2 linked regions of the Drosophila melanogaster genome follow. The protein of the gene in region 1 interacts with the protein of each later gene in a pairwise test. Each region holds a gene or a part of one and is shown in the gene's direction. Other genes may lie near its edges. The genes, in order: EndoB and CG2157.

Region 1 (16,996 bases):
CCTGTTCAAGGTGTAGATAAAGCAAAAAGTTTTTTTTTTTAAATCGTTGGGAAAAACCCTTGAAGAGTGGCGAATCCTTGGCGAGTGGCAGAGTGCTACTACTACAAATTCATAAGCCCATGGTGGCAATGAATGAAGTCATCGGGGCATGAGCACTTGGTCGAGTAGTTGCGATTCAATTGGAAAAAACAGCAATCCGCTTAACAATCAACGATACTTCCGACAGTCACCCTTTCCATTTTGATGTTTCTTCTACCCTCTTTACATTTTCTTATCGCTTTTTTTCCCCCCTCTTTTTATAGCCCTCGTTAAGTCTGGACAATACAGTCGAGACGCTGCTAATCAAGAATGAGGGGGACTTCATCAGCGTGGAGCAGGGCAAGGAGCTGGTGGCTCGCAAGCGCAACTCCCAGCAGCTGGCACATCCGCCGGCCCACTTGCATCACCACACCCAGAACCACGCCCACAATCATCACACTCTCCAGCAGCAGCAGCATCAGCAGCAGCAGCAACAACAACACAAGCGGGACGAGAATATGAGGCAGCTCCTGGATGTGACCAACACGCTCACCATTGAGGAGCTGCGCGATTTTCAGATGCGGTATGTAAGCTGGGGCGATCCTACTGCTCCTTCTATTTCCCAACCGACCTGACCTTTGACGGATTACGTTTTATGGTCCGGCCGGAGATTTAATTTCCGATTGAATGCCAATCGATTTTTAAGACTCTCGTAAAAATGCTCGGACCAAAGCAATCAAATTTTAAATGGCCAAACGGACAAACGAAAAAAAGACAAAAACAAACAAAAAAAAAAAAAAACGGAGGACCGCTTTTATAGCCTTCACCTGCCAGCCGTTTTGCATTGCAACAAACTGGCGATGGGAAAAAACGAACGAGAAAAATCCATGATGGGCTCATAACTTTTCAAATTACTCATACGACCTGTTGCCAGTTTGCAAAGTTTTTTTTTCCGTTTTTGTTTCTGTGAAAAATCAGTGGATAAACAAACATTTCGGACTTGCTCGTGGACGCAGTTCCTGCATTTGATTGTCATAAATGAGGTTTTAAATATTTTAAATATTCCACAAACGATGCTGCATTGCATTGAATTGCATTTCATTAGTTGTCGGTCTGTTCAAGAGATTTGGCACTAGAATTATCAATATTTTCCAATTTCTGGCTTGTGGTTAGTTCGTATCGACGCCCAAGGACACTATGCATATGTCCTTTGGCCTGTTGGCATTCACAGTTTCCAAGGACATGGCAGGTGAACGCAGTGAAGCGACTGTTGGTGGCGGCATCGGGTAAGAAATGCATATCTTGATCTCCATTAAACTGCTGTCAACTGCAGTTTTGGTTACAACTGGTATGCCGTTGACTTCTTCCCTTTTTTAACCCCGAGTGACAGAACACGAGGATGTGCATAGAGGACTCGCATTTCTAGTTTGGTTTTTGGTACTAACAAGTTCAACCATGTTCGGATTTCAGATATGGCTCACCACATCACAGCCGCTCGCAATCGGTGAAGATGCCCGGCAGCAGAGCATCCGGAAGGCCAAATCAGCTGTGTCTGCCCCAGCAGAGATCCAGGTGGGTGTCCCACATCCGGTTTAGTCTATATGGTTTTAACCAATTACTCTTGGATTTAGGGTGGCTTCCATGCCGAATACAGGAGTAGAGGAGGAGTACTACAGACTGCGTCACTTCTCGATCACCGGCAAGGGTGTGGTAAATCGCGGTGATTCCCTCAAGAGCCGACGCAGTCGCTCCAACAACAGCGTGGCCAGTTCCAATTCCAGCACGGAGCACCTGACCACCCAGCAGCAGCTTTCCGCCCCCGCATCCGTATCCGCTCGAACTTCGCTGGCTTCCAGCAGGGAGAGCAGTACATCCAATCCGGGCAACGGTCCCTACAGGTGAGTCCGTTTTACGGGGAAAGCTATTACATATTTTTGATTTCGCAAACTTTTTGTAAGACTACTAAGGCTTTAAACATAATATAATTAAATGCGTAAACTGAGATTGGTAATAAATATTATTTGCCATAACAAATTGTGGGTTTCAATCTGAATCAGATACATGTCATTAGTCAATGCCGCCCATTTAAACGTGCATTGTAAATCAGAATATATACATTAACCAGAAAGTCCGGCTCATATTTAAATGCGTTACCCTCTAACCTTTTGAAAACAAAATTCAATGGAACAATCAAAAGGTCAAGAGTCACCTCATTAGCATTGAAATAACAATAGAAACAAGAGCCAATCGACTTCGATCGCTTGGGATAATACAATAGTAACATAAAGAGGTTGACTAATTGGCTTTTTCCGCTTTCTTATTTCACCATTCCAGGGTCCTGATGCTGGGAGGTCCTGCGGTGGGCAAGAGTTCGCTCGTCTCGCAGTTCATGACGTCGGAGTACCTGCACGCCTACGACACGAGCATCGGTGAGTTTGTAGCATGCCCCTCCGGAGATGCTTGCATCCGGATTCCCTATTCCGTATTCCGGATTCCATCCCACCCAAGAGCACTGCATAACCCCCAGTAACCCCTGTATCCTACCGTGTCATTCCATGTCTGTCTGCTGGTTGTGAGCGAGTGCTTTGGCTTTACTTGATATTATTTCATAATTCATTTGTTGGCACTACCTCCGTTTTCCTAGTCGATGTTGTAGCTGCCTTGCTGTATAATTATGTTGGCTATTATATTTGTTTCTGATTTCGTTGCTCTGTGTCTGTGCCGTCTGTTTGCCCCCGTATCATATGGCTTTTTATGATTCCGTGTTCGGAAAGTTTATATTCCATAGCTCTGTACTCGTACTCCCCGCTTTTTGTTTGGTTTCTTTTTGCTTTTGGCGTTTTATGATAGCGCCGAGCTATTGCCACCGCCCGATGGGTCAACACAAATTGGCATAAAGCATAACAAACGCTGCTGCAATGAAAATAAATTCGGATCTTTTTTTTGGGTTTTTGCGACTCTAGCTAGGAATGGAAAAAAAAAAAAAAACTGAAAACTGTTTCATTCTTTGGCTGGGAGTCAATGAAAAGATTCGAATAAACATTTCTATTGGCACAAAGGAAATATGGGGGAAAAAAATATTCATAAAACAATAAATGTTGGCAGCGAATGGAAAAATTAAATGGAAATAATTTTGTCGTTCGTCGCTTAGTTGGAAATTTTTAGTGCAATATTTAACGATTTTTGTTTGTGATCAAATCCAAATTCCCTAAGATATATACAAATATAGCAAACGGTCCCAGTGTAAATGCTTATCCAATACACAAAACCTCATAACGAAAATCCGCAATTGTATCATACTGTTTTATAAAGCAATGATAATTTGTTCTGTTTCTCTCCATTCCGAATATCAACCAATCATACAACTCAATGTCTCAAAACTGACCCTACAAAACTCGAAAAACTCAACAACAACAACCGAATTAACAACAACATCTTTGTACATACAACAACAAATTGTGGTTGTAATCAGATCTAGGCAACTGTGATATACGCATTCTAATTGAAAAAGCCGCCGACGGTAAAAGCAACCAGCAACTTAACAAAATAATTATTAACCTTGTTAATTATGCTACTACTTAATATTTATTCAAATATCTCTATACACCTAATTGAAACGCTTTTCGACTCTCCAATTAAATTAACCAAACTCAACAAACTAGCCAAACACTTGATCCACAATTGCATTAGCCCTGCGCTTGAAAGCTAATAAAAAAAACTCCGAAACACACCTGGTTCCGCCCACTAGCCACGCCCCGGAAGTTAGAACACTCCTCCCTCCCCACCGAAAAACCGAAAAACAAATATAACACCAACTAGCCAATATATAGAGCATATAATATATAGTCCCATAGACCGCTCCACCATCGATTGCCATTGTTTCGCTTGTGATTTATGGCCAGCCAGCCAGTCGATGGACGGCAGCCTTGAGGGCAGGCATTCGATATGATTGAAATGATTATGCACATCACAAACACAACTAATGAAATTTAATTAATGATATGCCGGGCTCTGCAATTATTGATTGCCACCTGGGGATGGGAACGGAATAATGGTCGTGCCATATATTCAAAACTATAAATGCCACAACTTCAACTATAGCTATAGCATTTTTAATTAAAAAAGAGGCGCACAGAGAGCCCATTAAATGAATAATAATTGTGAAAACACTCAGTCCAACCAAAACAAAGTCACATTTACCCAGCCACCTTCCTTTCACCTTCCATTTACCCATTTGGTCAGATGACGACTTTTTCGCCCAGTCCATGTTGCGCGTCCATTTCGTTGCACACTTGTGGGGGCCAATTTAATTTCCCATACATTAGCATACATTTCGGGGCAGTCCGGTGTGGACATCCGGTGAATCCCCGCAGCTGTGTTCATTCAACTTGGCTAATGGATATATCCAAATACTCGATACTCGCATGCAGTGGACGACACTTGTAGATAAGCCCATCACAGAAAACATCCAACTAAAACACCTGCACATACTCTTTGTTTCTGCACTTTCGAGAATAGATGTTGTAAATCATTTCATTGCTTGACATTTGAGCTATCGAACTTAAGAGTATAGTTTGGCGCACATGCTAATATATCGGTGCTAACCTCGATTTTCCCCTTCAATGTGTGCAGATGATGAGTCCGGCGAGAAGGCCGTTTCAGTATTACTCAGTGGCGAAGAGTCCGAGCTGATTTTCATCGACCATGGATACACCGAAATGACTGTAAGTACCTTACAAAACACTCATCATCCTCTCAAGGGTATGGGACAGTGGTCACAATAACGCAGGGATATGCATAATTTAAAAGCAATACATTTTTAAATGGAAATAAATTTCAAATATTTGAAAACAATTTTAGTTTTTTTTTGTACATTTTTTTTTTTTAACATCTATCTATTTGCATAAAAGGCAAGTGCTTTTCATAGTGCACTTTAAACAAATTGATTCTCTAATGGACTTAGGTGCTTTCGAAACACCCATTATTATGCAGCCTCCAAAGCCTTGTTGCCATTATTGTGACCAGTGCTATTATATATACATACATACCTGCTCATCCATCCGGCGCCCTGCACTCTATATGTGACATTTCATAATGCCATTAGCATGCACGGCCATCAACTTACCCACACAGAAGCGGGAAATCACACTTTGGCAAAGCCCTCAACCTCACTCAATGTCACCTCGGTGTCACTGCCATTTCTCCATCCTTTCACAGCCGGATGAGTGCCTGACCAACTACGATCCGCACGGTTACTGCGTCATCTATTCGGCCGCGGACAGGAGCAGCTTCAGTGTGGCGGAGCAGGTGCTGCAGGTGCTCTGGACCAATCAGAACATCGCCCAGAAGGCAGTCATTCTAGTATCGAACAAGGCCGACCTGGCCAGGAGTCGACTGGTCACCTCTGAAGGTAAGCGACACGTTATAATGCTAATAAATATGTGGGAGGATTTCGGTTATCTTCCCCTCCCCCATTAACACTGGAAAGTGCGCTCGATTGGGTCTGTTACGAATAGATATACGAGTATATATAAACATAACGATATATAGTTCGAGTGTATAAACAGAACCGTCGTGCAGGGTCAGCTGAAGAGTTTGCCAAGCGGAAGTCATCCGGCGGTTCGCCTACCCAAACAGCCGGAATCTTAAGTGGAGGTGATTCCGCACCCCCCCCCCCCCTTGAAGGTCGACAGTTTCGGGGGTCCTTTTTGTCTACTCAAGTGCTTTCACTTGACTTTTATATCAGATTCCCTTTAAGACCAAGGTAACTCGGGCGCTTTCATCTAAGTAATTCAATATTTTCCGTTAAATTACGTTTGTTATTATGAAAGTAAGGGTGGGTGGTGACTGGAAGGGTTCCCCAGTTCTGCCAGTAAAATGGCAGTGGAGGGAAATTGTTTCAGCGCAAAATTGATTACATTTCGTCCCGTGTGGCATGTGTTCCGCTCAAGGCTTAAGGCCCATAAGCCTATTGTTGTAAACAGGGCGACAACAGGACCTACATTCGCCACCCACTACCCAACGCCCACATCCAACGCACAATCTTGAATTTGGGCGGAGAGTTCCTGTCCACCTAATGCGACGCCCTAATTTCATAAAGTATTTATAGAATTTTGTATGCCTCTGGCAATAATAAAATGAGCGCTTGGCCCAGAAATGTCTGGATAAAAGATATATTCATAAATCTATACATTGTCAAGCTGATTGGAAAAATATGAATAAAACCTAAGTGCGTCACAGGTGATTCTGCCACTCCACAGACTCTAAAAAACCTTTTGAAAATTTAATGTATTTTCCATTTCCACCTCATAACTTTTTGGCATACTAATGACGCACTAATTATTCAATTGGGGTAAATATTGCCCGATGTCGCAAAACTTTTGTTTACCTTTAATTAGGATCCTATTTCATCTGTAATCGAAAATCGGAAGGTTAAGAGCTTAAGTCTTTAAGCGCCCAGGAAAAGGCTGGTCTGCCTATCAAATAAATATATGTAACTTTCGTCACATTGTTAATAAAAATGTGAGGCTGTCATAAAATTTGCACCAGGAGGGTCACCATACGCATGGTGTACCGAACTTTGATGCTTCAGATTTTACGAGTTGTGTACACATCTGTGGACAAGACGTGACGGATGGGATGGGGATTCCCCGCATCATGTTTAGATACAAATCCCAGCCGAGGATGAGGTTTTACGACCAACTCCGAGTTAACTAAGCGAGACCATTCGATTTGATTAACTGGGATGATGGGCGGGCAACTAAGCTGGAATGTGATGCTTTTGGCCATAATTTTTACACATTTTCACTTAACCTCTCCATCGTGCCATTTTCATTACAGAGGGCAAGGCCATGGCCACCGCCTACGATTGTAAATTCATCGAGACGTCGGTGGGCATTAATCACAATGTGGACGAGCTGCTGGTGGGTCTGTTATCACAGATACGACTCAAGCTGGAGAATCCCGAAAAGTCCAGGTTCGTCGAGAGCTACTCAGAAGTAGTCTTTATTTTATTCACTTATGTTTATTATGTTTCTTGCCACAGGGATCTGTTCCGAAAGCGTTCGATTCGAAAGTCAAAGAGACGCGCCTGCTCGCCACTGAATGCCGGATGCCTGAATGCCAATACCCCTCTGGGTCCGCTGGGGGAGGCGGTGGCCACGCCCCCGGGCAGTGCCCAAAGCAGGTGAGTCATCGCCACGCCGACAGGCCATCAGAATCAGGCAGTAATGCTGATGCACCCTACTCTTTTGCAGTCCCCGCAAATACCGTGGATCAAGGACCTCCACCAGCCTGAAAGTCAAGGGACTTTTGGGCCGCGTGTGGACTCGGGACTCCAAGTCGAAGAGCTGCGAGAATCTGCATGTACTCTAAGCACAGAGATTATCCAAAGTGTAACCCACAAGTTTCCTATAGAGTATGCAAGATCCTAAGTTAAAGAAGAAACAGACTCGACTACTACCGGGGGTATTATTCCCAACTGTACATATTGTGTATAATTTTAGTCTTAATTTACGCTAGTCACTTCCTCCATTAATCATTGTATATAGTTTGTCTAAATATAAAACTATTATTTGTAATTGGTTTTTTATGCTCTTTCGTTTTCCTCTAAGCATGAGTTGGGATAATTTTGAATGCTCGTTGTAATACGGCGACTGGAATAAATTAGTTATATTTTTGATTGAAAGAAATCGTAATACAAAGGAATCCAAATAAAAAGCAATAATTTTTAAAATGAGAAAATAATATTTTACCCTTGTTCGTGGACGAATGAATACCAATTGTACTGATTTTTTGAAGATATGGCGCTTGTCCGCCGAATGAAACTTATTGTTAATTATATACGTGTAGTTATACATTTGTAATGGCATTGAATCTCGTTTTAAAATGGCATAAATATTCACATGAATGTTGATTGAATTAAAAGTTCATAATATAATTGATCGATTGCAAACCAGAAACTATATTAACCACATTGTGCAATTTTGCTTAAATAGACCTAGGGATTATTATGCCGTAATTGTTAAACAAAACCATTTTTTTAAACAAAGAAGCCCATCGTGCACCCACAATCCGCACGCCCTAGGTTTCTCAAGTTAGTCGGGACCATTTCAAAATTAATCAAAGATAGCAGAAATACGAAAGAAACACTAGATTTACACAAGGGCTACTTTTAGGTTCATGTCAGCGTAGTTTTACATTAATGCAATATGTGATTTTACACATGGTCCACTAAATCAAGAGCCTAAGCAAAACCATTTTGTTAACGTGTGCAATGCGACCTGCTGTATCAAATATTGAGGTCGGATCGAGAATTTGTAGATTTTTAACTATTAATGTGAACACTAGTAGTGTAGGGCAAATCACACAACTATTCCATAACAATCTAGATGTCCATTAAATGTATTATAAATGTCCATTAAGTATTATAATCACCAACAATTGCAGCACAATGGAATTTAACGGATTTGGAACATTCAAGGAAACCCCCAAATAATACGTGCATCCTAACATGTGTGTAAGATATCCGATCTATAACAGATAGTTAAAATATATACATATAGCTGTAATTGATTTTTGTCCAGAACTCTGTGTATTATTCTCGCTCAACATGAATGAATATGAATTCGAGCCGAAAACTATATAGGAAAGTGATAAAAGCACACTCGATTTTGCACAGATTGTCATATGATGTATAAGGAAAAGCGAAAGTCAGCCATAAATGTAAGAAGCAGCAGAGTGGTGAAAAGTTATCAATTGAATGCATGTTTTAATTTTTCCGCTCCGATAATATATGTCTAATGAGTGTGTATTAAATGTGAAAAGTTAAATTTAAATGTTTTCCAAATCGTGTTTTATTTTGGGGGTTTAATTACAAGGTGCACGGTCTGCAAGCAGGGTAAGTAAAAATTAGTTTAAATGTTGAAAAATGATTTTCATCCATATCATGATTAATTGACTATGTTATATTGTACAAACGTTCACATTTTTTAAAGCTTGCCATAGTAGCTTTCGTTACTATATAGATACTCACCACACTTGATTTACCGAAACTGTTAGCTTACATAGTATGTAGGTATGTATTTGCTAACAGACAGCTTAATTGTTATCTACTTTGATGTCGTGGCATTTGTTTAATAGAAGTAAATTTCGTTTCACCATTTACATGAAGAATAAAGAAGAAAAAGCTATGATAAATTAAAAATTAATACAATTTTACATTTTACTCAATAGTAGTATTTCCAATTAGAACTCTGTTCCAGTTGGAATTCTTCGGTATATTTGGTATATTCCTGGGAGAAACAATGGGTCACACTACGAAGTAGAGGAAATAAATACAAACAAATTGGGCTGTGTAGCGGAATTTAAATTTAAACTTTATCAACGGCAGTGTTAATTAGCGAACCTCTCGGCAAAAATGAATATAAATCTGCCGAATTTCAATGTGAAGAACCTGGTGAAGGAGGCGGGCAGCACAATATCACGAGTGGTGCAGGTGAACAAATCAATGAATTTGGGTGGCTGAAAAAAAAGCGGGTGGTGGTGAACTTTCGGTGGTTGGGCAAATGACAGATGTACCCCAAACCAATCTCAAGCACTTTCGTTGTTTCTTTGCCCTTTTCAACGGCTCTCCATTGTTTTCAATGACCTTTTCAGCTCACGGAGGAGAAACTGGGCACCACGGAGCGCACCGAGTACGACTTGCACTTCCAGAATCTCGCCGAGCGGGCTGATGTGACCAAGACATGGACGGAGAAGATAGTGCGCGACACAGAGTCGGTGCTGATACCCAATCCTCAGAACCGGGTCGAAGACTTCATCTTCGAGAAGATTGAAAAGTCGAAGCCAAAAAGGTTGAGCAACCTAGAGCACCTGGCTCTGGACATGATCGAGGCTGGGGGCGATTTCGGGCAGGATTTACCCTATGGTCAGGCTCTGATCAAGGTCGGCCAAGCGGAACAGAAACTGGGCCAGTGCGAGCACGACTTTATAGCCACCTCGGGCATTTGCTTTACACAGCCGTTGCGCAAGTTCCTAGACGGCGAAATGAAGACAATTGGCAAGGAGCGAGGCATCCTGGAGACCAAGCGCCTGGATCTGGACGCCTGCAAGAACAGGGTGAAGAAAGCGCGCAGCATGCTGGGTCAGCAATCGGTAAGTGGGTGGGATTTGATGGGGTTTCCTTATTGCAAGGGGGTATGATTGATTGGGTTTCGTAATGGCTTTTTCACTCACGGTCTTTTTCTGCCCTCTGCTGCCCGGAATTTTTAGAAAGATGGCATCTCGCCAGAGGCCGTCTTGGAACAGGTATCAAAACCTTGACCGAGCTCGTGCTCTAGATTTATGGCTAATCAATGAGCCAATTTCTAATTGCGATTTTTTCTAGGCGGAACGGGACTTGCGGGTGGCTCAGGCCGAGTTCGACCGGCAGGCGGAGATTACCAAGCTGCTGCTGGACGGGATCAGCACATCGCAGGCATCTCATTTGCGCCACTTGCACGCCTTCATCCAGACGCAAGTGCGCTACTACAAGCAGTGCGGCGATGTCATGGAGCAGCTGCAGCGTGAACTGGCCAAGTAAGTAGTAGGCGATCGATAGAGAATGACTGTGACTTCCACGTAGGCACCAAACGAATCTTTTCTTGCACACCAAAACACCATGTCCCATCCTTGATGAAACCCGTGGTCCCTTCTGGTGGTCTCACTGTGCGTTATGATATCTGCTTGTGGTCTTACAGAATGCAGCATCCCAAGCCACGCCTGCGTATCAATAGCGAAGACGTTGATTGTGGGCCTCCCAGCTCGGTGTCGATGCATTCTTGTGATTCCGATTCATTAGGGGGGATAGCCCTAGATAGCGATCCAGATCCCGATTTGGACAAGTCGCTTACGAATCTGCTCGAAGACTTTCACATAGAATTCGATACGACAGCCGTCTCCACAGTTTAGGGGTCTTGTTATTGTGATCTTCATATCGAATCGGATTCCATGCCCAGTTAACATTAGCATTTAATTTCAAATCATACGTACTAGATAGGTTGCTGTTATCGGTAGTTGTTGCACTTTGTAAAGTCAGGTTTCAGCAGCTCATCTCTCCATTTAGAGCTCGCTATCAAATCGAATCAAAAACTCATTAAACTCTGCATCTTCCATCAGCTTGGGAGGCCCCACGCCATACATTCCGCTCGACGTGAACGAGGCCAGTGCCAGCAAGTCCAACATATCGTCCGGAGCCGCAGCCCGTGGTCCTGGCAACAATCACTCTGCCAATATGGCTGCCACCGGCCACAAGCCTAATCAGCCCATGCACGTCAGCACGGATCAGATGCAGAGGGCACGCGTCCTTTGCTCCTACGACGCCAAGGATCACACCGAGCTTAATTTGAGCGCCAATGAGGTAAAGTAAAGAACAAATAATATCCTAAGCAATGCTTATATATAACTCATTTTTCAGGTGATCTTCGTGACGGAGTGCTCACCAGTAAACGAGGATTACATGTACGGAAAACAGGGTCTATTGAAGGGTCTGGTGCCACGCGCATTTGTTGAAATGCTCGACGAAGAGCACGATGTCACCCTCTAAGCCCTCCAGCAATTTGTTCAGCAATAATCAATCATTCAATAATCTCAAGCAAAATTAATGAACAAGAAAATACTCCAAGTACGGCAATACTCATATGTTAAGAAAGCAGACACGATCGAGAGAAGGGAACGGCAATTGGACAATTAAAGGATGCGGCCAAAGCGGCATTTGGCACTAGCAAGAGAGTACAATAATTTATTAGAATATACATACATAAATATATACAAGGCATAATATACATACATGAGCGTGTTGGTTAGTAAAAGCATTGTAGATTAGCCTTCGGTAATAATCAAACCCAGATCCATGCCCAAAGAGCTACGCTACTCCGTTGCACAGATCACGCTGTAATCAAATATGCATTCTGGCTGCCTGAAAAACCGTCAAGTTATACATGTAAATTTATGCAATTCCAAACATTATGATTGTTAAATCTAATCGCATATCTAAAGAGAAAGTGCTGTTTTATTAAGCTTCTCTACACTCGAAAAAGTATTATATATGTGTTATGTTTGTCAATATCTTAGTTAACAAGCGAAATTCTCTGTGCTTTACTATATATCCTATAATTATAAACGTAAGTATGAAATTGTTAATCCTATTATCTATATATTCAGCGAAGGCGTTTCCAATTATTATCTAATATATTTGCTGCAATTATTATGTTACCAAATTTTTCGTGCAATTTTTGAAAGTCAATTAAAAGAATATTGCTTGTTACATTTAAGGCAAAACTTTGAAACACCAAGGCGCTTGATAGCTAAAAAATAACAGATAAATATTGTTGAAAACGTACAATACAATAATTAAAAAGTAAACAACGATGATTTTTAGGTTTTCAGCAAACAAACAATGTTGTAATATGAAAAGCGAATTTTTAAACACCAACTATTATACTACATAATTACAAATATATGATCAAAATTAAAACAACAAAACCAAATTAAGTTCGATTTATTTTGTATTTCATTAGATTGCCCGTCCAGCTTTGAAAATCAGATCGAGATGGTAAGTGCTTTAAATTATATTTGTGAGCTTTTCTACGTAAAAGGAATAGAGGTGATTTGATTTCAAGAGTTCTATTATCTGAGTTCATTTATAGATGATCAAGTATTTGTTACTCATTTGTTCAATGATAGTGCATAATCACTTTAGAGAGATTTCGTATGTGAGAGCGAGGTGAACTTTAGACTTCAGCGATTATTATTTACAAGACTTTATTGGCATTCATACTAGGTTAACAATCAAGGGCTTAAAATTCGTATAAAAGTATATTGGTCTAGTTTTGATCCAAGATTCCAGTCGTAGTCACACCGCCATTTTCCAAAGTGGTCTTGGCGATGGTGGAAATCTTCTCATTGAGAGACCTATGATGACTGGATGTGGCAGCCTGTAGATTCTTAATCACTCGATCAGATGCCTGAATAGTGAGTGCCTTGGTCATGTTGAGCTCGTGTTGTGCAGTTGGCAGATTCAGATTGACTGCACGGGATGATCGCGATTGCGTCACAACCATTGCATAAATATCAATGGCTGCATTTGCCAGTCGTGTTAGCAAAATTTGTTCGTTAACTATGTTTTTGTTGTATCGCAGCAATAGTTCTTCCACCGATTGTCCAAAAAGATCAATACAATGGGCCGTTTTTTTGGCATAAGGCAAGAGTTCACCCACTACGTGGCCACTCAGATCGGTGCCGCCCAAGCCGACAGTGGAGGCCGCCCGCCTGGAGGCCTCTTTGAAAATCAGTCCCAAATTGGCCGAGGGATTCTTGAATGCGCGCTGCAGTTCCTTAAGGTGGGATCCCGCATATTGAATGCCAGTCAGGGCAATGAACAGCCGGAGAATGTCATTGGTGCCCTCGAATATGCGGAAAATGCGCAGGTCACGCAGGACTCGTTCCAATCCATTATCCACCATGTATCCCATGCCGCCCAGAATTTGTATAGCCTCGTCGCAAACATACCACGCGCTCTCCGAAGCATAGATCTTCGAGATGGCGGCTTCCAAGTGATAGTCCTTGCTGCCGGCATCCATGTTTTGTGAAATAGTAAACGCCATCGACTCCGTGGCGTACTGCAGAATGTTCATCTGAGCCAATTTCTCTTGGATGGATCCATAGTTCTTTAGTTTTTGACCAAACTGAACTCGATTGTTGGCATGCTCGGTGGCCTGTTCGATGCATTTCTTCATTGTTCCCGATAGCGTGGCGCCCATTCCAAACCGACCGTTGTTCAATATGTTCATGGCAACCTTGAATCCATCACCTTCCTTGCCGAGCACATTTTCAATTGGAATCTTTACATCTTCGAAATACACTTCGGCCGTGTTCGATGCCTTGATGCCCATTTTCTTCTCCGGTGGTCCATTGGTTACACCTCCGAAGGATCGTTCCACAATGAAGGCAGTGACCTTGTCCTTCTTCTCGCCAGTCTTCGGGTCCACCTGCTCGGTCTGTGCGAAAACGGTCATAATTTCGGCAATTCCGCCATTGGAAATCCAGATTTTTGAGCCATTAAGGACGTAGTGCTTTCCATCGGCACTCTTCACGGCACGGCATCGAATGGAACCCGCATCAGATCCGGAGCTGGGTTCCGTAAGGGCAAAGGCAGCGTACACCTGCTCGGCGGCCACCTTGGGCAGGTACTTCTCCTTCTGCTCGGGGGTGCCGTACAGCAGTATTCCCTTGAAGCCAATACTCTGATGGGCGCCAATCGTGATGCCCAGTCCCAGATCGTTGACACCCACAATGGCGCACAGCCTGCCGTACTGGGTATTGTTCAGACCGAGGCCACCGAATTCAGATGGCACTTGGATTCCGAAGGCCCCGAGCTCCCACAGAGCCGTCGAAGTGGTGTCATCTATTTTAGAGTTGGCATCGTTGCGGGCAGCGTCATTGACATCGGAGAAGAAACGCTCGAACGGATCTATCAGGCTGTTGGTCAGCTCCTTCTGCTCCGCGGTCAGGACATCCGGATACGGGAACACTTGGCTTGACACCAGTGATCCACGGAAGATGTTGGCCATAAAGGACTCATTCTCACTTGCCTTTTCCTTGCTGCGATTGCTTTCCGCCCCCAGTTTGGGACTGTGCGTCGCTATTTGCCTGCAAAGCGAGGCGTTTCCTGCCAGGTACCTGGTACTTTGGATCGTGTGCCTCCACATAGTTTCGAAATTGTTTGGTAAATCGCCCTTTGGACCGAGAGTCTGCAGTGTGCCCACATTCCCGATCACCCACGACGACGTCATCACCGCGACTTGCGCAGTCCAAATCTGGTATATTTCCTCAGAGCACCGAGTACCGGAGTATTCATCGTTTGGCATATTAAATTCAGTTGGTTTCCAAATCACTTAAAGAGTTTTTTAAATTTCGAAAAGTTTCTGGGGGAGTGTTTTTAGTCGTATTACTTGTTTTATATAACTGTTACTGCTTTTGAGAATTTTTGTATTGTATAGAACTTATCCAAAAATCGTTTAGCATCTTCAATTCTCTTTGTTTTCAAATCTCTGGAAGCGTTTTTAGAAATACAAAATGTATTTGAACCTAACTTAAATCTCGATCTGGATGTGGAAGAGAAGCATTTTGAACCAGATATTATAAATCTGATCCATCTGATGAAGAAGATTAAAGAAATGGTTTTGGAGTAATATTATTATCAATCCTGCTGTATATTGCAAATAGTTAATAATTTACCGCTGTTGATAAATACTAACTGCCCCCAACTCCAAATTAAAACACAAATGACGCTCTTAAACTGCAGTTTAATGTCGATAAATATGCGGCTTTTGAAAAGCTTACAAAAGTTCCCTTGTCGGTTGACCTTTTCTTTCTAAATCCTAACTCATTTCTGTTCAGTTAAATAAATATTTACAAAATGTACACGGTTTTCCATTACAATTAATAATATCTAGTTTCAGTTGATGCGACGTTGCTTAAAGTCTTTTCTTATCTAGTATCGATAATAAATTAATTGCTGCCAGCAGCATTTTTGCTAAATAGAATAGTTCCTCAAATCTTTTTACAATTCCTTAGGATAAGTTACCGTAGACTAAAGCGAAATTCAGTTGCAGAATTCAGATATGTATCTCTGGAGCTGGAGCTGTCTATGTTCTCATGGTGAGCGTTTGGCCGACTGTCATGATAGAATCCAGGAGTGTATAATACCTGCACATCGAAGATGATCAATTAATCCAGTTGGGCAATTATTTATTTATCTACTTACGATTTTCGCCCGGCGATAGCGTTATATGTATGTCCTCACGGCTCAGAACAGGGGCTAAAAGTAAACATTTGGCCAAAGCCCAGACACATGTATTTTTGCTTTTTACCAATAAAACGTGTAAAGCAACAACTTGCGAAGCTTGTGTAAATATTTAAATAACGTTCTTTATTTACTTTTGAGCGGGCTAAAAATAATAAACTCTGTTTCTCGTTGGCTTAATGCTAGTTTAACGGTTAGAGGATATTGTTAAATTAAACGGCCTGAGGCTGAGGCGATTGCATTTAATGTACATACATAAATCGAATATGTTAAAATAATTTAAAAAGGCCGCGCTTAAGCAATTCGTTTCCGTTCGCTGTTGTTTTCGTTTCGCACATGTCTTTCAGGTGGAGCCATGCAGTGGATAATGAACCTGCCGCCTACTAGTTTAAATGCTATCACAGTTTCAAAGTCGAGCATGCAAGAACAACAGTCAGGAGCTAGCTCATGCACGATAAGAGAACTTTGTTATCGTTTGGTGCAGCTTTTTGGGTTATGTATGCAGAGCGTACGGCTGCTGGGACGGCTGCTGTTGCTGCTCAATGCTGCCGGGTGGCGTGGCAGCAGCAGCAGCGGCCCCGCCTCCACTGGGAACAATGCGTATCATACCCGGCTGGATCCTAACGTTCTCACAGGCCTCACAAATATTTAGCTGTGGATGGTTGCGGAATGTACACATGTTGCAGGCCCACGAGTCCAGCGTCTCCTCCTCCTCATCCACATCGGAGTCGGACAGGAATTCTTCCTCCTGTTGTGGCTGCGGCTGCTGTTGCTGCTGCATCTGGTGTTGTAGCTGCTGTTGCTGCTGCATCTGCTGTTGTAACTGCTGCTGTCGCTGCTGCTGCAGATATTGCTGGAACTGATAGTACTGGGCGTACGTCGGTGGCGGCTCCTGCTGCAGCTGTAACAGTTGCTGTTGACTCTGCATCTGGGGCGTTAAACAGGCCGAGGTGGGAGCACTGCTGTGGTGCTGCCCAAAGTCCTGCACCGGCTGGGAGATGGGTGCTGCCGGCACCGAGTGCAGACGTAGTGAACTGGGCGGCGCCTGGACGCGAGCACTTTGACGCTGACGCGGGAATGGCTGTGGCTGTTGCTGCGGCTGCTGCTGTGAAGCATTGCTGGCTGGTAACAGGT
Region 2 (15,454 bases), on another chromosome or scaffold:
GCGTGGCGGCAGCTCGACATCAGCGCCCAGCTTTAGCTCCAACCAGCGGCGAGTGGTGCTCAAGCCGACCAGCAATGGCAGCAGCAGCAGCGGAGGAGATCAGCAGCAGTTGTCGCACAGCGGCAGGCAGCGGGATCGGAGGCGCGGTGGAGAGGATAGCGCACTGCAGCGGAAAGGTGGAGTAGGAAGCGTTGGCGGCAGCAGCAGCTCGGGATCTGGCGGAGGGATCTTCGATAGGCTGGAGAAGCGTGTGGCCGTCTCAGGAGGAGGGAGCAGCGGTGGAGGCGGCGGGAGCAGCCACAAGCAGCGATCCAAGGCGCCCGCCCGCATCGTACTCAAGCACGATTGATAAGAATATTTAGTTTAAGAATATATAGTTTTCTATAACTATTATCGATTATAGATGTACGACGATGATGGGGAGTAGTGCAGTAAGCAGTACTTTAGCTTTAAGGTAAAAAGTTATAAATAGTTGAGCTTTCTTTATAAATAGCGGATTATACATATATCTAGATGTCATGTAATTGGTGGGTGTGCGTGAGGGTCTCTACCCCGTGCTCCATGCGGTATGCAAATTCATTTAGCTTTAAGTGTACAAATCTTATCAATGACTAAAACGTGCTTCGTTTTCTTAATCGCTATTTGTATTTAAACGTAGGATAAAGTGGAATGCTTAAAGCTTGACCTGGACAACAAAACAATTACCGTATATAACTTTAGCAACACAAACTAGGACCCAAATGTGCATACTATGTGCATGCTCATAGCCCTTAGCCTATGTAATCAAGTGAAAAATATTTACACCTCTACATACATTTATATATATATACATAAAGTGTATATATTTATTTATAAATACTTCAATTTAGTTTTAAGCACAAAAGCTGAGCGTCTATTTTTTATGATGACAATTCTACAAAGATTTTATTGAAAGAAAGAGAAGTTAAGAAGTGCAAATGCTTCTTAGGAATTTACTTTAAATTTACCTTTAGTTATTTGAATTATTTTATACATTGTGCCCCGTTGATTGTAAATGAAATTTATTGTCTGTCCTGTTGTGTTCTTTGTAACTACTATAAACCACATACGAAACTATGTTAGCTTGTGAACTAGTTTAACTAATAAACTTGAAATATTGCAGCATGTAACGTACTTGTACACACAAAGCAATACCTTAATGGCCTGGAAAACGCAGACACATAGAATGCTACCGATAAACTGGTAATGCAAAATGATCAAACCATAAATTACAATGGCATAGTACATAGGATACCACATACCACTTACCATATAACACTTATCGCTCACTTAAAAAACTGGCCAGTTAAAGAGTAATCAGCGGAATGAAGTCTTCGTTGGTGAACCGCAGAATTGATGATGAGCAATGATGGATAATACCTAGTAATACTAAGTACTTGTACATAATACAATCGAACTATTCGGCTAGCCACATTTATGTAAACATACCACACACTTTCCTACGAAAGCTGAGAACATATTGTCCGATCTAGAACAACAGCCATAAACTTCACTTAGATTATTTGCGTCGAAGATAATGCGAAATGCCTAGACTAAAGAGATTGTTAAATTATTGCCACTCCCGCTCCCGAGAAATATAAATATATATATATATATATATATATATATATATACTTAAGTCATAGAGAGATCTGCAAGAACCATTGTAATTGGACAGTAAGCATTGTACTTTGCACACTATTGCAACACTCGAGAAACCCCAATTGTGTCGATAAGCTAATGAACGAATACGTTAATATGAGTCATTTTTATTGTAACTAAGCTAACTAGATAAAGAAAAGGTAGAGGTATATCGCAAATGCAGATGACATGAAATGTATGTACTAAAATCGCTCTATTAAAAACGCATCGAATCCGAATGCGGTACAAGCTTGACTTTTGCATTGATGTAAGTGGCACATTTATTCATGTGACAACAACACAAAGAGATACAAATGTAACTATCTATCTATTTATCTAATATGTGTGGCGAAGGTAATTGTTGAGGATGAAAAGGGGTCGCAACGCTAGAAAATGATAAGATTTAATGGGAAGCGCATAAAGAAATCGTATATGCCTAGGTATATACATACGTATAACTCTAGTAATCGTAATGCTACACACAATATGATATAATATATGGATTAATAAAAACCAATTATACCACGTGCACACATAAAAGCGTGCGGCAGCATAACTGTATAAACATCTAAAAATTATTCCAAGTGATTTTAGCTTTTTAAGAACCAAGTCGAAACAAACTGAACACTCGTAGTGGAAAACACGAAATAGCGCAAGCAAATGACAAAACAAAAATTGAAATGATTCCAATTTGCAAATCCGAGTCTGTGATTATTTTTATATTATTCTTATTATTATGCATATACATATATTACGATATATAACAACTATCCATTACGGCCCAACCCACAGATCACCAAAACATACTCGTAATAATTTTGTTTACCCACCCGATCGTTTTACCCCAAAAATTTCTTATTTTGTACACCCCAAACTACAAACCTAAAACTTTAAAATCAAATACTAGAATTAAGTGCTAGTTAAATCGGTTTGCGATCAGGCTCCAACGCTCCATTCTCAGTCAAATAGATTAGATTACTTGGGGATTCGTCATTTATGTGTGATATACCATATATATGTATAGTTTTTTGCGGGATCGGGAGTGGAGTGGAGTGTTTGGAGCGTTGCGATCAATGCCTATTTAGTGTATAAGTGCATTATATTTTCGGGGCACTAGTTTTCGATACTGGGCCCCACACACACACAAGACAACACCATCTAATATTCCCCGCATTTTCCCAGCTTTACATTTTCAGTTCGAATCGCCAATACATTTTACCTGTGTATAGTGTATAGTTAAGAACCGACTAGCAGAAATGCAAACACTATTCGATGTTAGTTATCTATATATGTACCTAGAAAGTTACTCTCTATGTGTGCACGAAACCTATCCGTAAATTTATTTATTATAATTTTAAGCATTTTGAACGATAATATCTCTGTTTCTACACGCCCAAAAATTTTTGATTTGTTAGTCCTAGACAAATAGTTTGATTTTGTTATAGTTTGTAACTTAACTTTTTTCCTCCCCTTATTGTTTATGCCCCTGTTATCACGCCAAACTACTGTTCCTAACCCAATCCAATTCCCCATCACGTGTTATACCCATCATTTAAAACTAACCTAAAAATGTCAATTGGAACTTTTTTCGATGGCGAACGCAACTGTACCCCCAATGTTCCTTATTCCATAACATTCCCTAGTCCTCTATCTCGCTCTCTGACAACTATCTCTCTCTCTCTCTCTCTCGCTGACACCTATATCTATCTCTGACCATCGCAATAGCTGTGTCTCTGTCTCGCGCGTGCACATGCATTAGAGCAGAGCAGAGATACCCAGATATTAACTTAATTGTAATCATATATAAAACCTATACCTAATTTTCTTTCAGCACTATTCTTTGTACAAATCGAAAGAAAAAATTGACAAAAAAGAACGTACAAAAAAATCAAATCAAATGAAACGAAAAGAATGACAACAACTTAAAAACCAAAAAATTAAAAAAAAAAAAAAAAATGAGAAAAAAGGAATGAATAAATTACAGAAAGTAGTTAGATTGGGCGAGGTGCCATTTGACGAGGGAAGCTCCGCGGGCAGCTCGCCAAAGAACTTTTGAAGAAGACTAAATAAACTGATATATACATGAGAATACATGATATATATAGAGACCCAGTCCTGTATATATTTGTATATGTATATTTTTTACAGCATTCAAACCGAAAATGCATTTTGAATGGGTTGATTCTGATTGGAATGGGTTGATTCTACAACTTTGCCCCTGGCATTGTCTCTCTAGCTGCGATTTATGTGTGCCTCGTTCGTCTGGGGATTTATGGATATGTCATGCATCTTCAAACTATTTTCATTGTTTTTTTTTCGCATTCAATCGAAGTGAATGAGAACTGGAACTCATCGCTGGCGACATCGAATCTAGTTATTCACGAGACGCGTCTAATCAATTGCAGATGATTCATTTCGAGAGCCGAACCCCATTCATCTCCCCAACCTTGATATGCATATGTAACTCAATTGGTGCTATTTTCATGGACTGCGCTGTAGAGTAGGCAATAGTAATTGAATCGCACTCTGAAGACAAACTGAAAGTATCCTGATAGAGAGTTGCATTATCTGCAGTGGAGCAATAATAGACAAGGTGTATATTATTTACCATTATTTAAGTATTTAGGTCAAGGTCGCTTGGAGCTTGGGGATACGATCCATTATGGGGGTGGTGGTCACCGCTTGAGCGAGGGACTTGACTTTGTCGTTTGGCCAGTCGCACAATGCACATGGATGGATAATCGTGTGAAGTATTCTTGGTCTTGGCTGATGGTAATATGCAATTATGCAAAGTGCAAGTTCAGCGGAAAAGGCCATGGTTTTGTTTTGCTTTGTTGTGGATTTGTTGTCGCCACACCATTGTCTCCAGGTCTGAGATTAGCTAAGGTAGCCACCCAGATGCAGCCCACTTCGACCCACTGCCACCCCAAAGTTCCCATCATCATCATCATCGTCGTCATCATAGTCAGCATCATCATAATTTTCAGCTTCATTTGCTCGATGTACCTTGCTTGCGGTTTTTTTTTTTTTAAAGCTGCATTTGGATCGCTTTAGTTTTCAGTTTTTCTGCTTTCAGTTAACCAAGCCGCTCTGTTCAATTATAATTAAATCTGTTTGTAAATATAATTGGTGGGCGTGCGACTGGCATGAATGATGCAAGATTGCTGCCACCGTCGAGCGTGATTTGCTTTTGCAAATTAGAACAACGAATCATGGCAACGCCCCGGGGAAAATGTTACCTGTCTAATCTGGGATTTGGTTCTTCCCTTCGAATGCACTGCGAAAAACAGGTGCGTATACTTCAATGGAAAAGATACAACATGAACTGAGTGATATACAAAGATAGAAAAACTCTTGAATACAATAATGGATTAGAATGGTCTTAAAATTCTGAGATGAAATATGCAACTTAAATGATATTTGAAAAAATCACTATACTAGTTTTGCTCCACATTTTTTTATGCTTTTAACTGGCTCTATCTCAACTGACAAAGTTCTAAATCTGATTTTTGCACCGTGCTTGCTTTTCCTTGATTACTCATACGCCCCGTGTGCGCGGGTTGGCCAAGAAATGGAGGCTACCACTTACCGCGAGATTCACGGGCTGCCCGTGTAATGGGCTTTTAGGCCTCGGCATTAAAGAACCATTGTCTCAGTGGGGTAAGAGCACAAGAAAAGAAAAAAAAAAACGAGAAACTCCCAGGCCATCGCCAAAGTGCACCCATGGCCAAGTCAACTCATAGCAGTCGGCAGTAGCTTCGGTTGCCTCCCTCCATCCATCCCTCCATCTATCCATCCATCCCTCCAACCATCTATCCATCCATACAGTCAGTCGAATCAGTTAACACTTTTCACATGCCCGCCGGGTCGAACAATGTGAACCCACTCATATGGGCGGTATGACAAGCGTATGTATATACTATGTGGCTATCCACAAGCATGGCATCGACAACTATTTTGACATATTTCGTAAATATCCGTGGATAAGTATCGCAATGCTATTGGCACACGTAACTTCAACTGCACAGATACAAGCTACAGTTTTGCAGTTTTGGAAAATGGCAAACGGATATAGATCGTTATGTTCTTAAATGCTACTTTATTATTCAAACACTTGCTAAAGTTATTATTAAAGTTATTTGAAACATCTGAGTACTTTTTAGTTTCTTGTACTAAACTCTATAGATTAAATGTACTTAAATGTGGAATACCCCTGAATTTATGCTAAAACTATCGCCCAGATTGGTAGAACCTAATTCAGTCCATTCAACCCAATCGAAGTTACGACTCCAATCCGTTAGGTTTTTTAGAAAATGTGTCAGCAATGTTGGTTGGAATGGGGATACTTAGCTTAGGCACTTGGCCAAAAAGCCTCTAAGAAATTAACAATTGCCACCTTTGTTGGCGAAATTCAAGCATTCAGATCCGCCTGGCTCTTCTTCTCTGCGATGTTTTGTTAACAATTTCAGTTGGCTTAAATAAGCGCTGGAAAGTGAAAACCCAATTCGATACTGTTGTTCATGAAATGAGTCACGTACTAGCCGCAATATTTATCTATCTAACTAAATCGTTTCAACTGGACTCGCATGATTGCTGTTACGTTTTTTTTTTAAACTTTGTTTTCAAAGCTGCAATCGTTGGGCATTTTCGCGTTTTATGTTGACCAATTAGCTGTTTCAGGGTCAAGTTAATGATTCAATTAGCATTTGTCATCATTGTTATTGCTTCTCCTGAGCGGCGGCGGTATAATTGATCCCCCAGATCGTGGGAATATTCATAATGATGTGTGATCACACATCAACACGCCCAACCAGCTTTTCATAAGTAGATCATTCGAAAGGTATTGTTTTCTTCAAGAAAAGAGTTAAGATTATAAATATGTATTTAATATACAATATTAGCAATCTAAGTTGATCCAGAGTTGTTCCATAAATGGGTTAAGTAGAGCTCATCTGATTCTGGAAACTATCTAATCCAGGATATAAATTCAATCTAATATGTTTGATGATTAAGCCAAGACCCATCAGCATACACGTTGTCCAGTGGCATGCGTCATACATACATAGGTGGCAAGCAAGGCGACACGAATCTCTGGGATGCAACAGTTGCGTCCAACTTCGCGGCTCGAGTTCGCTGGGATTGGAAGTGGGCTCGGCGGGTATAAAAGCGACTGCCGGCCCGGTGGGGAATCATTAGACAAGTGTCGAACGGCGCGTGCGCATCATAGTCTTGAAGGAGCAGTTAGCCACCAGAAAGCAGTGAACACCACAAACCGGCAGCCACAACATGAAGTGCTTTGTAAGGACTCGCCAAAGGATCTCTCGTGGATTATAATTTCCCAAAAACTAGAAAATGATTTAAAAAACACAGTTCGTTAAAGTGAATAATAAGTTTTGAAAGCATTGTATTCCAAATGCTTGATGTTCATTGTTAAATTATAAAGTGTATTTAAATTTTAGTTTAAAGTTGATACATATTTTTTACATTTTTTTTATTACATTTTTGAATATGTTTTATGTTGCTTTTGAGAATTTGTTAAACAAAATACTATTGTTAAAAAGTACTTTTCACTTTATTGAAATATGTTTTAAGTGGTAATCTTTTGAATATGATACATTTTGGTGACGCTTTATCCTCGCGCAGTTTATCCTGATAGCAACCAGTCTGGTGCTGAGTGCCTATGCCCAGGACGCGGCGGATTCTGACCTGGAGCAGGTGGCATCCGCATCGGCACCGGATGCGGTGGCCGTGGAGGATCAGGTGAGCGCCGCCAGCAGCTATGCCCCGCTGCAGGATAAGAAGCAGGAGAAGCGCTATGTTGGTGGATACGGTGGCTACGGAGCGGGCTACGGCGCGGGATACGGCGGCTATGGCGCCGGATATGGCGCAGGATACGGCGGCTATGCCTCTGGCCTGGGAGCCGGCTATGGAGGAGCGTACGGCAGTGGCGTCGGCGTTGGCGTGGACAGCTACTACAATCCGTACAGCTCGCGAGCTCTGGGTGGATTAGGTGAGGGTGAGCTTGAAAGAAGACTCTCAATCTCTTGCCGAAGACTCGTAGTATACCAACGCTGTTTCTCAATCCCCAGATGGTGCTGCAGTGGCCGGATACGGAGGCTATGGATCCACTCTGGGCGGCTATGGATCCGCTTTGGGTGGCTATGGATCCGCTCTTGGTGGCTATGGATCGGGACTTAGTGGTTATGGTGGCTCCTACAACTCGAATCCATACGCCCTGTCATACTACAACAGCAGGCTGGGCGCTGGAGCCGGCACTGGGTATCCGTACTACAACACCCGATTCGGCGCTGGTGGCTATCCATCCAGTTACTATACGAGCAACTATGGCAACAGCGTGGTGGGCGGCGGCTTGGGCGCTTTGGGCGGAGTGCCGCCCATCGGATCGGGCTATAACTACGGTTCCGGAATCTCGGGAACCGTCTACTAGACACCGCACGGTCCAACGTTCAAGATCTAAGCTAGTGGAATTTATTTTTTTTCATCGATATATTTTTTTCTAACTTTATTTTTATTAAAAGATGCTACAAAAAAATACATTATCATAATCGTCATTTAACTAGAAAGTATATATTTATATATGCATGTAATCTCATTGGGGCGATGGATATGCGCCATGCTTGTCCTTGATCACCCAGAAGGAGTCGACAATGGCGCCGTTCTGGTCATCGGACACCTGCTCGAAGTGAAGATGCGTGCCATTATGTGCCTTCAAGCGGGTGTATCCGTAATCCTAAAGAGATTATAGAATTATAGTATTCCGTTTTGATATTAAGCAGGTCATTCAATTACATTGCTATGGTAGGCATTCCAGATGGGCAAATCGTTGGAGAAGGGCTCGCGCTCCTCCTTGCAGCCGGCGGAACCCGTGATGATCTGGATGGGCGCCTTGGGATTAGTGTATGGCGCCTCGGCACTGCCATTGTACACCTTGTAGTCGTAGATTGGCCACAGGCGAGTGTAGAAGTGTTCATGCGCAAAGATCTCCACGTCGACGCCGTGCTTGTAGAACAGATCCTCCAGGCCGAACCACTTGAGCATGGGCAGACCCTGGCGAATGTACGTCTCCAGTTGGCTATTGCAATCGTACTCCTTGTCGTCGCTGCAGTACATCGGTCGATGACCGTAGGTGATGATCCACGGACGTTTGGCCCGATTCTCGGGCAGATTGGCCTCGGCCAGGTCACGTTCCAGCCACTCGAATTGCTTGGTCAGCAACTTGAAGCCATAGCTGAGGAAGTAGTAGACCTCCGTGGAGAAGGAGACAAAGTGCACGGGTCCCAAGTTGAAGCTGTACCACAAGCTGTCCGTTTCGCCGGGCATATTGAAGCGGGCGCGATAGTTGGAGAAGTTGCTGTGATGGGCCAAAGTAAGTTAGGTTTGAATAGTTAACACACCGGCATCATCAAATACTTACTACTTCTCCTCGTGATTGCCCGGACAAACCATGTAGGGCACATAGGCAGCCACCGACTCGATCTGGCGCATGAATGCATCACCCACGGCAGCGTTGGAGGTGTCCATGTCGTAGGCAAAGTCACCCACATGGATGATGGCATCGTACATGCCTCGCTCAGTGTCCTGCTGTAGTCGGCCCATCGACTGGGCATTCTCGTTGCCCATGTCACCGAAAATGGCCAACGAGGGCGACCACTTCTCACCCGCCGGTGGCGTCTTGAAATTGAACACCGCCGACCAACCGAGCGGACTGCCGCAGCTGTACTCGTACCGCGTGTCCGGCTCCAGATCCTTCAGTTCCACATTGTGTATGTACTGAGTGCGAGCCTTCTTTCCACCATCGACGAATCGCTGCCAGGTGCCGTTCACCATTATCGGCTCGTCTTTTAGATAGTTCCGCGAGAATTTAACCACCGAGGCGTTGGGGGAACTTCGAGTCGACCATGTCACCACAATATCACGAAGATTGTCTACAACAAAGTTCATTAGCTGGGATTATTCTCACTTTTAAAGACCCAATTTATATTTAAAACCATCTCGTTTTAAAAACAGTTTCCCCTCGAATTTCGTACTTAAGACTATAGAATCAGTAGGCCACAATCATTGCCACTCATACATAGTTGTTTTATTTGAGCGTATAACTGTAATTACATTTCATTAAAATATATATGTTTAGAAGGAGGATAGTTTCTTGGTCCGATTGCTGCGAATATAAATCATTCGAATTTGTGCCCGAATTTAAAATACTTTAGTATATGACGACATAAAATATCACAAAGTTTTTGAGTTGAGATCAGACTGGTACGGTCCATGCTTGTCCTTGACCACCCAGAAACTATCGATGACCTCGCCCTTCTTGTCATCGGACACCTGCTCGAAATGTAGATGGGTGCCGTTGTGGGCCTTCAGTCGAAGATACCCAAAGTCCTGGCTGTGGAAGGCACTCCACGGAGGCATGCGCTTGAAGAATGGCTCCCTGCCCTCGTGATTGCCGGCAGCTCCCGAAATGATGTGTATTGGTGCACCGGGATTCACATACGGCTCGGCCAGCGATCCATTGAACACGGTGTAGTTGTACATGGGCCACATCCGCTCGTAGCAGTGCTCGTGTGCCCACAATTCAATATCTACGCCGTACTGATAAAAGAGTGGCTCCAGCCCGAAGAAATCCAGCATGGGCAGACCCTTTCGAACGATTGTCTCATGATTGGCACAGTCATCTCCGTTGTCATTGCTGCAGTACATGGGCCGATGGCCGTATGTGATAATCCAGGGACGCTTCTTCCGGTTTTCTGGCTTGTTGGCCTCGATCAAATCCCGCTCCAGCCAGTCGTACTGCATCACGATCTGCTTGATCCCGAACTTAGTGAAATAATAGACTTCTGTGCTAAAACCGATGAAGTGCACCGGTCCAAGATCGAAGCTATAGAACATGTTATCCGATCCACCCGGCATGCTGAACCGATTGATGTAGTGCGAAAAGTTGCTATGGGTTGAAAGGGAAAAGTCCTTATATCAGTCATCATCATTATCATCATCGCAATTGGCTTGTGGTGTAGCACTTACTACTTCTCCTCGTGGTTGCCCACGCACACCATATATGGTAAGTAGGCGGCTATGGTCTCCACCTGGCGCATAAACTCGTCGCCGACCTCTCCGTTTTCCCAGTCCATGTCGTAGGCGAAGTCTCCCACATGGATGATGGCGTCGTACTGGCCGCTCTGCGTTTCACGCTGCAGCGCTGGAAGGGATGCCGCATTCACCACGCCCATATCGCCGTAGATCGCCAACGAGGGCGACCAGTCGGCGTGATCGAATCGCGTCCGAAACCAATAGGTGGCGGACCAGCCCAACTCACTGCCACAGTGGTAGAGATAGGTGCTATTCGGTTTCAGGTGGGACAGCGTCACCTGCATTCGGATGGGTTCATGGATTAGATGCCTTCGTTTGCGACTCTTGCTGCGTCGTTACTCACACGATGTATATACTGGGTGGCCTTTTTGGCTCCACCATCCACGAATTTCGTGGGCATTTGCGTCGCCTTCACTCGCTGATGCAGTCCATCGATGCCGAACTCACAGATTGATTCGTTGGTGTTGTCGCGCGTGTTCCAGGTGACGACAATGTCGAGCACGGTTTCTGCACAAGCACACTGATTAACTAGGAGCTTAACACTGAGCATGTCACATATTTACAACACTTGTCTACAAGATGAAGTCAACTATTAATGGATTCACTCACAAACCATTTGATTGATCGTTGAATTCTCAATTGAGTTGTTCCCAGTTTTATGATATTGAATTGTTTTATCCCAAAACAATAAGCACAATGAAAAGTTCAAGACATTTATTGTAAAGATACTAGGCATTTAAACAACAATCAGTGTACAATCGGATTGCCGTGACTATAATAAACCCGGTAATCGGATTTCATGTACTTATTGATAATAAAAACCGATCGGGTGCATATCCATTAGTCCTTTAACATTGATCCTAATAAGTATATCAAGTACATCCCATACACATTAAAAACAATTTGCTTAAGACAGCAGTTACCGAGTACCAGTTTTTGAACATCAAGTAACATGCGACAGAGATAAGAAACTAAGTTCATTTACGTTCTTATCAGCTTATGTTAAATGCACACTTAAAAGCGCTTGCATATGTGTAAATGCTGCGTTTGTTAAATTGGCTAAGTATAAAACTGTAGTTTGTTTCGGGCTGGGTTGAGATATTTGGATAAGGAATGTGCCACGCTTATTGCTATAGTTTGTGATCGAATCAGGTCGAGGCGAATGTGCGCTACTAATACTGCCTGTTGCTATTGATGCGTGTAATGCCTCGAGAGACTCCTTTAGCTTGAATTGATTCGGCTCAGGTTATGGTTCAGATTGGGAATGACTATTTAGTTTCGGTAGCTTCCATGCTTGGATTTCACCAACCAAAAGTCATCGATGATGGCGCCGTTCTTGTCGTCGGACACCTGCTCGAAATGGATATGTGTTCGATTGTGAGCCTTGAGCCGTGTGTAACCATAGTCCTGGCTGTGAAAAGCGCTCCATTCGGGTATTTTGCCCTTGAATGGTTCTCTTCCCTCCTTGCAGCCGGCGGATCCTGTGACGATGTGCACAGGGGCACTAGGATCATTGTACGGCGAATCCTTCAGCGTTCCATTGCGCACCTTGTAATCGTAAATGGGCCAGAGTCTCTCGTAGGAGTGCTCGTGCGCCCAAATGGCCACGTCCACGCCGAACTCGTAAAGCAGCGGCTCCAATCCGAACATGTGTACAAATGGCCAGCCCACCCGCGTGAGAGTCTCTGAGTGGGTGCAGTCATTGTCGTTCTCGTTGCTGCAGTACATGGGTCGATGACCGTACAAGATGATCCACGGACGCTTGTTCCGATTCTCTGGCAGATTGGCCTTGGCCAGATCCTCACGCAACCATTCGAACTGGAATACCAGCGGCTTTAAACCATAGTTGAGAAAGTAGTAGACCTCCGTGCTAATGCCCACGAAGTGCACGGGTCCCAGATCGAAGCTGTAGAACATGTTCTCCGTACCTCCCGGCATACTGAAGCGGGCACGATAGTTCGAGAAGTTGCTGCAACACCAACAATTAGATCCTGCTTCTACCAAAAAACACTCTACTCTCTGCTCTACTAGCTACTCACAACTTCTCCTCGTGATTGCCGGGAACCACCATGTATGGCAGGTAGGCAGCCACCGTTTCGATCTGCCGCATAAACTCATCCCCCACGCGAGCATTCTTCGTGTTCATGTCGTAGGCGAAGTCACCCACATGGATGATGGCATCGTACATGCCGCGCTGCGTCTCCTGCTGCAATCGGGCCAGGGATTGGGCATTCTCATTGCCCATATCCCCGTAGATAGCCAGCGATGGCGACCAGTCAACGGATGCCGAGGGCACTGTGCGAAACTGGAAGATGGCCGACCAGCCAAAATCGCTACCGCAATGGTAAGAGTATGTGGCATTTGGCTCCAGGTCCCTAAGCGTCACCTAAGCAAAGTAAACAATAAGTTTTTCTCTCTCTTTCTGGTACATCAACTGCGATGTCAAGGTGGATCGATTGATTGTTAAGAGATGGAGTGCAAGCAGTCCTGGCTCATTGGTTCTTAATTTGGTTCTAAGAGCCGGATTCAAGGTTGCATTCCTCTTACATTCTCACATCAATCTACTTGAATCGTTTGATCGGTTGCATACTCTATGCATACCCTGTGGATGAACTGCGTGGCCTGCTTGTGACCGCCGTCCACGAATTTAGTAGCCTTTCCCCGGGCCTGTTGGGTGAGCCTGACCTGTCCGTCTACCAGTTGACCGTACTCCACCACGCTGACCGCACCCACTTCCTGATCCGGCGGCAGGCTGCGCGTGGACCAAGTGACGACTATCTCGCTATCGGTGCGTTCTGCTTCAGAGGACAAGCGGATATCGAGAAACGGGGAAGAGTAAAAGAAAAACAAACTTGAGCAATTTCGTTGGTCCAATGTTGGTACGTTTCAAATGAAAGGAAAACAAACAATTAGCCCCCATCCGGCATCTAATATCATTTAGATTTGGCATTAATACTGATTACTAAACATGAAAATGTATAGATTTATAGTATAATATAAACAATGAACTCGAATTCCAGATTTGCCACGATAATGATTCGCATAATTAAAGTTGATTGAAACAAGTGCTACTTGGTTACTTTAATGAATAACTTCAATCCCATTAGCATCGCTTGTGCCAAATTGAATTTGAATCTGTAACGGGTGCAGGGTCGTCCAGTCATTCATGACCAAATGTTATTGTCCAATAAAACCCTGATATTTTTGCTTTGCAGCGACGCTCCATTGTTTGCTTCATCCTTATCGCCAACCCAACAGAAACTAGAAACTAGAACACAAAGCCAAATGGCCGGTGGGATGACGATCGACCGTATCGGCAAATATGAGGCCCCACAGGGAGCCAAAGTCTATCAATCTTTGGGTTGCATTTCAGGGTTTTGAAGTTTGCAATGCCCGCGTTGTCGTAGACAACAGTGGAACCCCAATATGGCGGAATAATGCTATTTTTTTTGGGGGGGAATCACCTGATTACAAAAAAGACTGGCCGAGCGGCTGACGTTTTTAATCTTGTTCAGTTTTTCGCCAATCGCACTACACAGCGATTAATTTTAGCATTGTGCACGAACACATTCACAGTGGCATACTTAAATTGTTTGTTAATGTTTTTGTGTTTGACCTGCCACCTCATCAGGCCTTAAATAAGCTTGAATTTATTGCTGCTTCCAAAAATTCGGAATTAGATGTTATCAGTTTTGGAGTTTTATGGGACTTTCGATTATTAATATAAAGCTATATTTATACAATATTTGGGGAAACCTTAGGTATTACCTTGTTGTAATTTGTAGGCTGTAACTAACGATCGTATAGATATTAACTACAATTAAATATAACTATGCATTGCGCCCGTTATTGTGGGTGCATTTGCATTTGTTCATCCCATTTATAGGGGCGACGACACTGATAATCATTTTATGTAGCAAATGATTCTGGGCGGGATTGGAAAGCAAGTATTGATATCACTCGATAAGTGCCTCTGGAATTGCGTACTATACGATCAATGTTTTTCAAAACCATATGTGATAATACACATAAAGGAAAATGTAAGTACAATGTAAGGTAATGTAAATAAAATAAACTTTCCTACGTGATAGATTTGTAATATTAGAAACTTATATGCCAAGCTATCATTTTTCTCCCAGTGTATTCTAACACTAATGCAACGCTGCAGGTGAGCAATTTACATAATGCGAAAAGTAAAGAAGATCGCACTCACCTCCAAAGGACAGATGCACTTGCTCCGGCTGATAGTGAACAATGTCGACGTCCTGGTCGATGGGAGTGCTCCTAATCCCCGGAAGAAGCAGCACCAGCAGGAGCAGCGACGCTAGCAGAGCGAATTGCAGTCTCTGCATTTTTACCGTTTTGTATTTACTTGTGTTTGTTGTTGCACAGTAACGCAGTCAGCAAAAACATTGCCAAATCACAATTGCGTCGTTGTCAAAGTGGGGACACTTGGCTCGGGGAGTCGTTGGAGTTAAACGGGGGAATCGACAAATTCGCTTGCGGGAACAACAAAAAATGAGCACTAATATGGAAATATCCAGCAATTTATAAGCGCAGCCACAACAAAAACAATCCGGGTGCAGTGTGACCTTGGCCGCCGAACAGCAAATGCCAGTGGTAACGATTGCACGCTGGCGACAACTATCGATAGAAAGCGATAAGTGAGCGCGCGATTTGAACTTGA

What was found.
Region 2: the proteins of EndoB (region 1) and CG2157 interact in a two-hybrid assay, tested with the Drosophila melanogaster proteins (one large-scale study listed by BioGRID).

Annotation. Positions count from the first base shown.
Region 1 is NT_033778.4:19,302,993-19,319,988, reverse strand, and holds EndoB (endophilin B), read left to right. Parts: upstream 1-9,323; 5' UTR 9,324-9,436; coding exon 9,437-9,514; intron 9,515-9,675; coding exon 9,676-10,173; intron 10,174-10,290; coding exon 10,291-10,326; intron 10,327-10,405; coding exon 10,406-10,596; intron 10,597-10,757; coding exon of another isoform or gene 10,758-10,962; intron 10,963-11,175; coding exon 11,176-11,416; intron 11,417-11,473; coding exon 11,474-11,602; 3' UTR 11,603-12,542; downstream 12,543-16,996. Other genes in the region: Rgk1 (Rad, Gem/Kir family member 1), read left to right, coding at 303-601, 1,489-1,590, 1,650-1,916, 2,353-2,447, 4,651-4,742, 5,236-5,428, 6,859-6,994, 7,064-7,204 and 1 more; Acadvl (Acyl-CoA dehydrogenase very long chain), read right to left, coding at 12,882-14,765; Tab2 (TAK1-associated binding protein 2), read right to left, coding at 16,356-16,996.
Region 2 is NC_004354.4:10,862,435-10,877,888, forward strand, and holds CG2157 (uncharacterized protein), read left to right. Parts: upstream 1-6,849; 5' UTR 6,850-6,945; coding exon 6,946-6,957; intron 6,958-7,302; coding exon 7,303-7,675; intron 7,676-7,748; coding exon 7,749-8,107; 3' UTR 8,108-8,269; downstream 8,270-15,454. Other genes in the region: CG2186 (uncharacterized protein), read left to right, coding at 1-349; CG1637 (uncharacterized protein), read right to left, coding at 12,040-12,736, 12,807-13,153, 13,369-13,565, 14,981-15,119.